2 linked regions of the Arabidopsis thaliana genome follow. The protein of the gene in region 1 interacts with the protein of each later gene in a pairwise test. Each region holds a gene or a part of one and is shown in the gene's direction. Other genes may lie near its edges. The genes, in order: ABCG6 and PUP8.

The links.
Region 2: the proteins of ABCG6 (region 1) and PUP8 interact in a protein complementation assay, tested with the Arabidopsis thaliana proteins (one large-scale study listed by BioGRID).

Annotation. Positions count from the first base shown.
Region 1 is NC_003076.8:4,368,841-4,374,016, forward strand, and holds ABCG6 (ABC-2 type transporter family protein), read left to right. Parts: upstream 1-1,851; 5' UTR 1,852-2,038; coding exon 2,039-4,222; 3' UTR 4,223-4,361; downstream 4,362-5,176. Other genes in the region: DCP2 (decapping 2), read left to right, coding at 82-120, 237-389, 480-583, 674-741, 818-1,152.
Region 2 is NC_003075.7:10,067,558-10,071,749, forward strand, and holds PUP8 (purine permease 8), read left to right. Parts: upstream 1-1,900; 5' UTR 1,901-2,160; coding exon 2,161-2,191; intron 2,192-2,263; coding exon 2,264-3,417; 3' UTR 3,418-3,558; downstream 3,559-4,192. Other genes in the region: PUP6 (purine permease 6), read left to right, coding at 382-433, 525-1,636.

The DNA of each region.
Region 1 (5,176 bases):
CTGTCAATGGTCAACTATATAGGCTCTCTGTATCTTTTTACTATTTCATTGGTATGGAAATGGTCAAAGGTTTAATTGTAGCTCTCTAGTGCTATTCTCCTGGTGAATGTAGCATTTCAGGTGCTGTAATTCTTCTTCTGATTGTTTGTATAGACTTGGAATATGGGTTAATGTTGAAAAAAAACTGAATATTTTGTCACACTTCTTATGTATTGTTCTTCCATGCTAAATTACAGGTCTTAGAGGAAACTGGATTTGATGTCTCAAAGCTACTCAAGAGAGAAGAATATATAGAGTTTGTTTTCAGGCAGCAAAGAGTACGACTTTACATTGTTGCTGGGGTGACAGAAGATACAGTTTTTGCACCACTTACAAAGAAGGAAATCAGTGTGCGTATTTAACAATTAACTTGTGGATCTGATCTTGTCTGTGTATGTATGATGAGTCTCTTATCTTCTTTTGTTGTGGAATACTTGTAGGAAATCACATGGCATCGGCTTGATCATCTTCAGCCAGCAAGTAATGAGGTGATAACTCATGGAGTTTCTGGTCTCAAATTGTACATGGTGGCACCTTTCCTTTCGTGAGTAGTGGCTCTCTAATTTATACACATAGATTTTTGGGTGATTTTCGTGTTTTGGTTCATAACAAGAGAGATTACAAACTTGTGCAGGTCATTGAAGTCGTGGATATTAAAGCATCCTTCACCTGTAGCACGGAGACCTAACAAGCCCCTTAAAGGTTTGACGTCTTTTTCTCAAGCATTCATTAAAAGAGAGGTTTTTGGTAGAGATCTGACTATATATGCTTTGTACAGCACTCTGCGTGTGGAATGCAAGGACTAGTGTTGGAGGGAACGGGACAGCAACAGTGGAAAGCCAAAATAGAAAGTCTGAACTCAGGACAACAACAATGGAAAGCAACAGTAGAAAGCCTGAACTCAAGAGAACAACAATGGAAAGCCACAGTACAAAGCCTGAACTCAGGAAAGGAACAATGGAAAGCCACAATACAACAGCAACAGTAGAAAGCCACAATACAAAGCCTGTAGTCGACCATTCTCAGGACATAAAACCTGGTGGCAGTTTCATAAACTTCAAGTTCAACCAGTCAGTTATCTTACAGGCGTTGGAATCTGGTAATTCAGCTTGACTGGTCAGTTTGTCACATATCGGTTGGATTGGTGTTGGGAGTAATGATGCGGTTGGATTGGTGGGTTTGTCTATAGCAAAACCGTTGGATATGTTCATACACGCTGGTAGCTTTCTATTTCTTTGCCATTTGGTTTATATACCTCTCGTTTCTTCTAGAATGAAAGGGTTGTTGTAAATGATGTTAGTAGGGAAGTGGTGAATCCTTTGGATCATGGCTTTAGATGACAATGTTACGACCAGCTATAAAGGTTAAAAGAGTTTCTTATCCGAGTAGTGAATCGATGATCTTCTTTATAGCGCCCTCTAACTGCTTAATCGAAGCAGAAAGTGTTTTTCTTTTTAGAATAAAAAATGAACTCACCTATAAAACAAAAAGTCGCACCTAAATAAGTGAAGTTTATGTAATACTATGATTACCTTGGAAACAAGAGATATCTCGAGATTGTTTAGTTTTTTTCACATTGTAATTTGTTAGTATAAAAGGTGGGTGGGGGAATGGTGGCCTAAATTCGGCAAGGGTGGCCTAAAAAATACATTTGATTGCTATACGAAAACATTTTAAAGAAACAGAAACTGACAAGTGGCATTTTGTGTTTTACACTTTTACTTGCTTGTGTTTAGGTTTGGAGGTTCATCTACATAAGCATCAGCATTGTGACTTTGACTCTCCCCATCAAAATTAATCCTAAAAATCAAAGCATGTTAAACAGCCCAACCACATTGAGAATTTTATCTATAAATAGAATTAGAAATTAAATCCTTGGTTAAACCCATAACTCTTCTTTCCTCTTTTCTTCTCCGGCTAACGGTAGTTTTGACGCCGTTAGTTTTTCCTCCGTCTATTGATTTTTCCCGCTTCACAATCGCAACAAACCCAAAGAAGAATGTCTCGTGTGGTCGCAGCGGACGACAATATGGCGTTGCCGTTCTTCTCGCCGGAGTTTGGCAATGTCTCAGGCGCGTCGTCTTCTCCAACAACGTTCGCACAGCTCTTGCAAAACGTCGACGACTCCACGCGTCGTAGTCACCACCAGCATCACGTTGATGTGGATCTCGCCTCGCCGGACCAATCCGTACCGTTCGTTCTCTCGTTCACTGATCTCACTTACAGCGTCAAAGTTCGCCGGAAGTTCACATGGAGACGCAGTGTTTCTTCAGATCCTGGAGCTCCGTCTGAGGGGATCTTCTCTTCCAAGACGAAGACGCTCCTCAACGGAATCACCGGAGAAGCTAGAGACGGAGAGATACTAGCTGTGCTCGGAGCAAGTGGCTCTGGAAAATCGACGCTGATCGATGCGTTAGCGAATCGAATCGCTAAAGGAAGCTTGAAAGGAAATGTAACTCTAAACGGAGAAGTTCTCAATTCGAAAATGCAGAAAGCGATCTCAGCTTATGTGATGCAAGACGATCTTCTTTTTCCGATGCTTACAGTTGAAGAAACCTTAATGTTCGCTGCCGAGTTTCGTCTCCCGCGAAGCCTTTCGAAATCAAAGAAGTCTCTCCGTGTCCAAGCCTTGATTGATCAGTTAGGACTTAGAAACGCGGCGAATACGGTGATCGGAGATGAAGGACACCGTGGAATCTCTGGAGGAGAGCGACGGCGAGTTTCAATCGGGATCGATATCATCCACGATCCGATTCTGCTTTTCCTCGATGAACCAACTTCGGGTCTGGACTCTACAAGTGCTCTAAGTGTTATTAAGGTTCTTAAACGAATCGCTCAGAGTGGAAGTATGGTGATCATGACTCTTCATCAACCTAGTTACCGTCTTCTTCGATTGCTTGATCGTCTTCTCTTCTTGTCCCGTGGCCAAACTGTCTTCAGCGGATCGCCTGCGATGCTACCGCGCTTCTTCGCAGAGTTTGGCCATCCAATTCCTGAACATGAGAACCGCACCGAGTTCGCTTTGGATTTGATACGTGAGCTGGAAGGATCAGCTGGTGGAACAAGAAGTTTAGTTGAATTCAACAAAGGGTTTAGACAGAGGAAAGCAGAGCCAAGAAGTCAGACTGGCTTGTCCTTAAAAGAAGCCATCAGCGCAAGTATCTCTAAAGGCAAGCTCGTCTCTGGAGCGACCACAACAACTCATAGCTCTGGCTCGAGCCCTGTTTCCACTATTCCAACTTTCGCGAACCCGTTTTGGGTCGAACTCGCGGTTCTAGCCAAACGGTCCATGACTAATTCTCGCAGACAGCCTGAACTATTCGGGATACGCCTAGGAGCTGTTTTAGTCACTGGATTCATCTTAGCCACTATGTTTTGGCAGCTAGATAACTCCCCTAAAGGAGTCCAAGAACGTCTTGGATGCTTCGCTTTTGCAATGTCCACAACGTTCTACACTTGCGCAGATGCTCTCCCTGTTTTCCTCCAAGAACGTTTCATTTTCATGAGAGAAACTGCTTACAACGCTTACCGAAGATCCTCCTATGTACTATCTCACTCTCTTGTTGCCCTCCCTTCCTTGATCATCCTCTCGCTTGCTTTTGCAGCGATCACATTTTGGGGTGTGGGTTTAGATGGAGGTCTTATGGGTTTCCTCTTCTACTTCCTAGTAATCTTAGCCTCTTTCTGGGCAGGAAGCTCATTCGTCACCTTCTTATCAGGCGTTGTCCCACACGTTATGCTCGGTTACACCATTGTTGTAGCCATTTTAGCCTATTTCTTGCTTTTCAGTGGATTCTTCATCAACCGAGATCGAATCCCTGGCTACTGGATCTGGTTCCATTACATTTCCTTAGTCAAGTATCCTTATGAGGCTGTGCTCCTAAACGAATTCGGTGACCCAACAAAGTGTTTCGTCAGAGGAGTTCAGATATTCGACAACACACCTCTGGTCGCGGTGCCTCAGGGGATGAAAGTTAGGCTTCTAGCAACTATGAGCAAATCACTTGGAATGAGGATCACAAGCTCTACTTGCTTGACCACAGGATATGACATTTTGCAGCAACAAGGCGTTACGGATCTCACCAAATGGAATTGCTTGTGGGTCACGGTCGCTTGGGGCTTCTTCTTTCGAATCTTGTTCTACTTTTCTCTGCTTTTGGGTAGCAAGAACAAGAGGAGGTAAAAACAAAACTCAGTTTGATCTTATGGAGGACTGGTTTGAAACTTGATTTACCTTTGTTTGTTTTCTGTATTTTTCTTTTATCTCTTTGTTGTATATTCTTATATATGTGGTTGATAAATTGTTGAATTGGAGCCCAACTACTTGCTATTTATTTGAATTATAAATTGGAAGACTCTGAAAAGAAAAGACTATAAATGTGTGTAGAATATTTGGCTTGTTTGGGTTTGATAAGTAAAACAAATTTTACAACTAAAAATTGCCAACTTTTTTAGTACAATAGCACCTTACACATTCCGTAGAACACATCATATGACGTATGTTGATGGATTTGCCAACCATAGTCAAGGGGAAGCTTAGCCTATAGTCTCGTCACTTTTAGAACACCAGCCTCTCTAAACAACTTCAATCTCTTGCTTCAGAAACATGAACTATGTACAAACTCATACACATTCCCCAATCAGATTATGGGTTCCTCTTCCGGTTCCCAACACTTTCCTCAACCCCTCATTAATAACATCTACTGATTCAACCTCGTAAAATTCATCTTTCACATGCCTACACTGGAAAAGCAACAAGATCAATCAGAATCCTTTCCCTCAAATGCAACATTAAAGTTCAAATTCACTTGGAATGAGGAAAAAGATAAGGAACCATCAAACACCCCATTGGGTTCAAATAGGTAGTGTACCTTTGGCCGTTTCCAGTTTGCTCTCGTCCATGGCCAGTAAATCCAGTTCTACCAAACTGTACATGCTTCAACATGATAGGTGATAAAGCTTATTATTGGGTCAAAACAATAATAGCAAACTTACTAACCCTTATTTCTCAAACTCCTTTGTCTCTATCAACTGAAAAGTGGCTATGTCAACATTTCAAGCAAGTTTGGTGTAGGTGGTGTACCTTTGGTATCTTGGATATACCTAAAGCCATATTGATGACATCGTGTTATGAATA
Region 2 (4,192 bases), on another chromosome or scaffold:
TGATAATACTGGTTGGTAAGTTTGATACTTTTGTCTATAGATAACTTGCTAGTACCCTAAGGATTTGTTTTGGCTAAATATAAAATATGGCAAGAAAATTCTGGTTGGTAATAAAATTTGGTTCGTTTAAAGATAGGATCCTACAAAAATGGAGGAGATGATTCATTCCAAGAGTGCCATTTAACAATTCACGGGAAATGGTTAGTAGGACAAATTATAACGATATATGTAGTACTTATAATTTTAAAAACTGAAATCTTAATGTAAACTAATACTAACTTTATTTATTAAAGAATAATATATGCATACGCATTTGCCTGTTATATAAGTAAGCAACACCATCTTTATTTGTTCCCTGACATATTTCTCCTTCAGGTTTCTATGATGGAACTAGAATCAGAAACTCAAGAACTCCATCTTCACGTAAATGGCGGTAAGTATTGTAACAGAAATTCCGGCGTAGAGATTCTTGTGTTCTTCTTCTTTTACTTATGTTCTTGTTCTGTTTCATGTGTTGATGGTAGAACCTGAAGGGAAATTTTCAACAGAAGAGAGAAGTCACAAGTACTCTTGGAGGTTAAGAGTGTCTCTCTATGTCACTCTCCTCTTAGCTGGAGAGACAATAGCCACTCTCTTAGGTAGACTTTACTACGAAAAAGGCGGTAAAAGCACATGGCTCGAAACCTTGGTTCAGCTTGTAGGGTTTCCTTTAACCCTTCCTTGCTATTATTACTTAAAGCCTGAGCCGTCCAAGACTAAAACCATTACCAAAAAAACTACTTCTTCCTTCTTGACACTATCTTTAGTGTATATTGGACTTGGCTTGCTTGTTGCTGGACATTGTATTTTGTACTCATTTGGGCTACTTTACCTTCCTGTCTCAACTTTCTCTTTGATCTCTGCGTCGCAATTGGCTTTTAACGCCGTCTTCTCTTACTTCCTAAACTCACAAAAAATCACACCATTTATACTCAATTCACTTGTTCTCTTAACCATATCTTCTACACTTCTTGTTATCCAACATGAACCAGAATCTCCCTCTTCTACTTCAAAGTCCGCAGCCAAGTCCAAGTATGTGATTGGATACATCTGCGCGGTCGGTAGCTCAGCTGGTTATTCTCTGGTGCTTTCTTTAACAGATTACGCGTTCGAAAAGATTCTAAAGAAATACACATTCAAGGCTATTTTAGACATGGCCACATATCCGTCTATGGTAGCTACTTGTGTAGTTGTGGTAGGACTTTTTGGAAGTGGTGGGTGGAAAAAGCTGAGTACAGAAATGGAAGAGTTTCAACTAGGGAAAAGCTCATACATTTTGATAAACATCGGTTCAACGATATCATGGCAAGCTTGTTTGATTGGAAGTGTTGGTTTGATTATCGAAGTTTCATCGCTTTTTTCCAATGTCATAAGCACTCTTTGTTTACCAGTTGTGCCTGTTCTTGCTGTTGTCTTCTTCCGTGATGAGATGAGTGGAATCAAGTTGGTTGCAATGTTTTTGGCCATCTGGGGATTTGTTTCTTATGGTTATCAGCATTATGTCAATGATAGAAAGCCAGAAGAAGACCAAGAGCTTCCTCAGTCTAAAGAAGAAGAAGAACAAAAACAAGTAGATACCATTCATGTCCAAGCTTAGGCAAAGATCCAAGAAAACCAAAAGCTTTTGTAATTTGAACCAGTTTAATCTAAAATAAAAATGAGTTATATATATTGTAGGCACTACAAATAAAATTGGTAAGTGTCTCAAGGTCTCACAGTCTTCATGTATCTTTGTTGACTTCTGAATCCAAGTCAAGTGTACTTATGGCCTTCCCGTCTTGTTGTATCGTTGTTGACTTCCAAATCCACAAAATAGATTACTAACATAACAAAAACAAGTAATAATTTTTTTTTTTCAAGTGGACGGACACTTGAGCCAATAAGATTAGAATAAGATACAACAATATCAAGCGTCTATATATCTGTTTTCACCAAACTCAGCCTACTTTAACAACGTTGTGTATAAGAAGTTTTCTTAAAACCGCCAATTAAAAGGTTTCAATAATTCAAAGTCAACGGTAAACATCTTTACAGAAATATGATGCACTTGTTCCCACCAACCTTCATATATATAAAAGCTTTACCAAAACTCTGTTTGTGGGAAGTCCTCTTAGAGTGGTCATGGAAATAACTCAAGTAATCTATGTCAATGGTAAGCAAGATGCATCTCGTAGTGTAGATTACTTGATTCTTTTCGCTAACCTGTTGTTTTTGATGTTTTCAGATCATAACAACATAGAAGCAAACCTAACAGGTCAGGAGGAAATGAATACCACCATGGAAATCGAATCTTCGTCCGTACCTCAATCGAAGAACTATAAGAAATGGCTTCGTATTTCCATTTACGTGTTCTTTGTCCTTGCTTGCCAAGCACTTTCTACAATTTTGGGCAGAGTTTACTATGAAAATGGTGGGAAGAGTACATGGATGGGAACACTTGTCCAACTAATCGGCTTCCCTGTTCTGTTTCTCTTCCGCTTCTTTTCCCAAACCAAAAATCCCAAACCAACAGAAGCAGATTTCAGAAAGTTCTCTTCCTTCACCATTCTTGGATCAGTTTACATCGTTACTGGACTATTAGTGTCTGCTAACTCTTATATGTCCTCTGTTGGTTTACTATACTTACCAGTTTCTACTTTCTCCCTCATCTTGGCCTCACAATTGGCCTTCACTGCCTTCTTCTCATATTTTCTAAACTCGCAGAAGTTCACACCTTTCATTGTGAATTCTCTGTTTCTCCTTACTATTTCCTCTGCCCTCCTCGTGGTCAACACTGATTCGGAAAACACAGCAAAAGTGTCTAGAGTAAAATATGTGATAGGGATAATATGTACCATTGGTGCTTCTGCTGGGATTGGATTGCTGCTATCCCTGGTACAACTGATCCTCAGGAAGGTTTTAAAGAAGCAAACATTCTCAACGGTCACTGACTTGGTCGCTTACCAATCTCTAGTTGCAAGCTGTGTGGTTCTCATAGGACTTTTCGCAAGCGGGGAGTGGAAAACTTTAACAAGTGAGATGGAAAACTACAAACTGGGGAAAGTGCCATACGTTATGACTTTGGCCTCGATAGCTATTTCCTGGCAAGTCTACACCATTGGCGTCGTGGGACTGATCTTTGAGTCATCTTCTGTGTTCTCCAATTCCATAACTGCTGTGGGATTGCCTATAGTTCCAGTTGTAGCAGTGATTGTTTTCCATGATAAAATGAACGCGTCAAAGATCTTCTCCATCATTTTAGCTATCTGGGGATTCATTTCATTTGTCTATCAGCACTACCTCGACGAAAAGAAGTTGAAGACTAGCCACACAAGTCCTGTAGGAGATCCTCATCTACTACCTGCTGAGGAAGGTCACACAAACATACATAGTGTATGATCAAAACATATTTCCAGTGTAAAGCCAATGTATCTTTGTACAGTTTGAGCATAGATATAAAAACGTGTATCTCTAGTCAATCATAAGTAACTGATAAGTTTTGTACATAAGATACCAATAGTTCGGATCTTTTTTACTTCTATATACCGGAGATACCCATAACTTAAAGATGCAAATGCAATACTCTGCTTTGTCATTTTGCAATGCATTTGAATCACCAAAAAACAAGAGCAAACATCGATAGCAGAGAGGCAAATAGGCTAAAGCATCCTTGGAAAACCAGAGCTTTGAACAAAAAAAAAGAAACAAGTGAACAAAAATAATACCCACTTACCTGGAAGCCACTGACATAACAAATAACCAATGTAGTGACTTGAACAGTGCCTTGTAAAAAGACTCCTTAAAATACCAAAAACGTATACTCCAGGAGCTTGGATTCTTGTATCTTTGTTGACTTCTGATTAAACGTCAGTAGACACTGAGAAAATAAAAAAAATTCTCGTAGAGCCGCCATTCAAAAGTTTCAAGAATTCCACAAGTCAAGTGTAAGCAAATAAGAAAAGTCACCGGTCAACATGAGACTACTAAATAATGATACTGCTACTGTCATCTATCGCCTGCCCCATCCATATAATACGATTTACTAAAAGCCTGCCATGTTTGATAATGCAACTTGTGTAGGGTATTTAGATGTTTTTTTGTAATACCATCAATGTGTGTTTAAAGAAAGGCCTCTTGTGTATCTGCACGACATCTCAAACAAAACCAATCAATA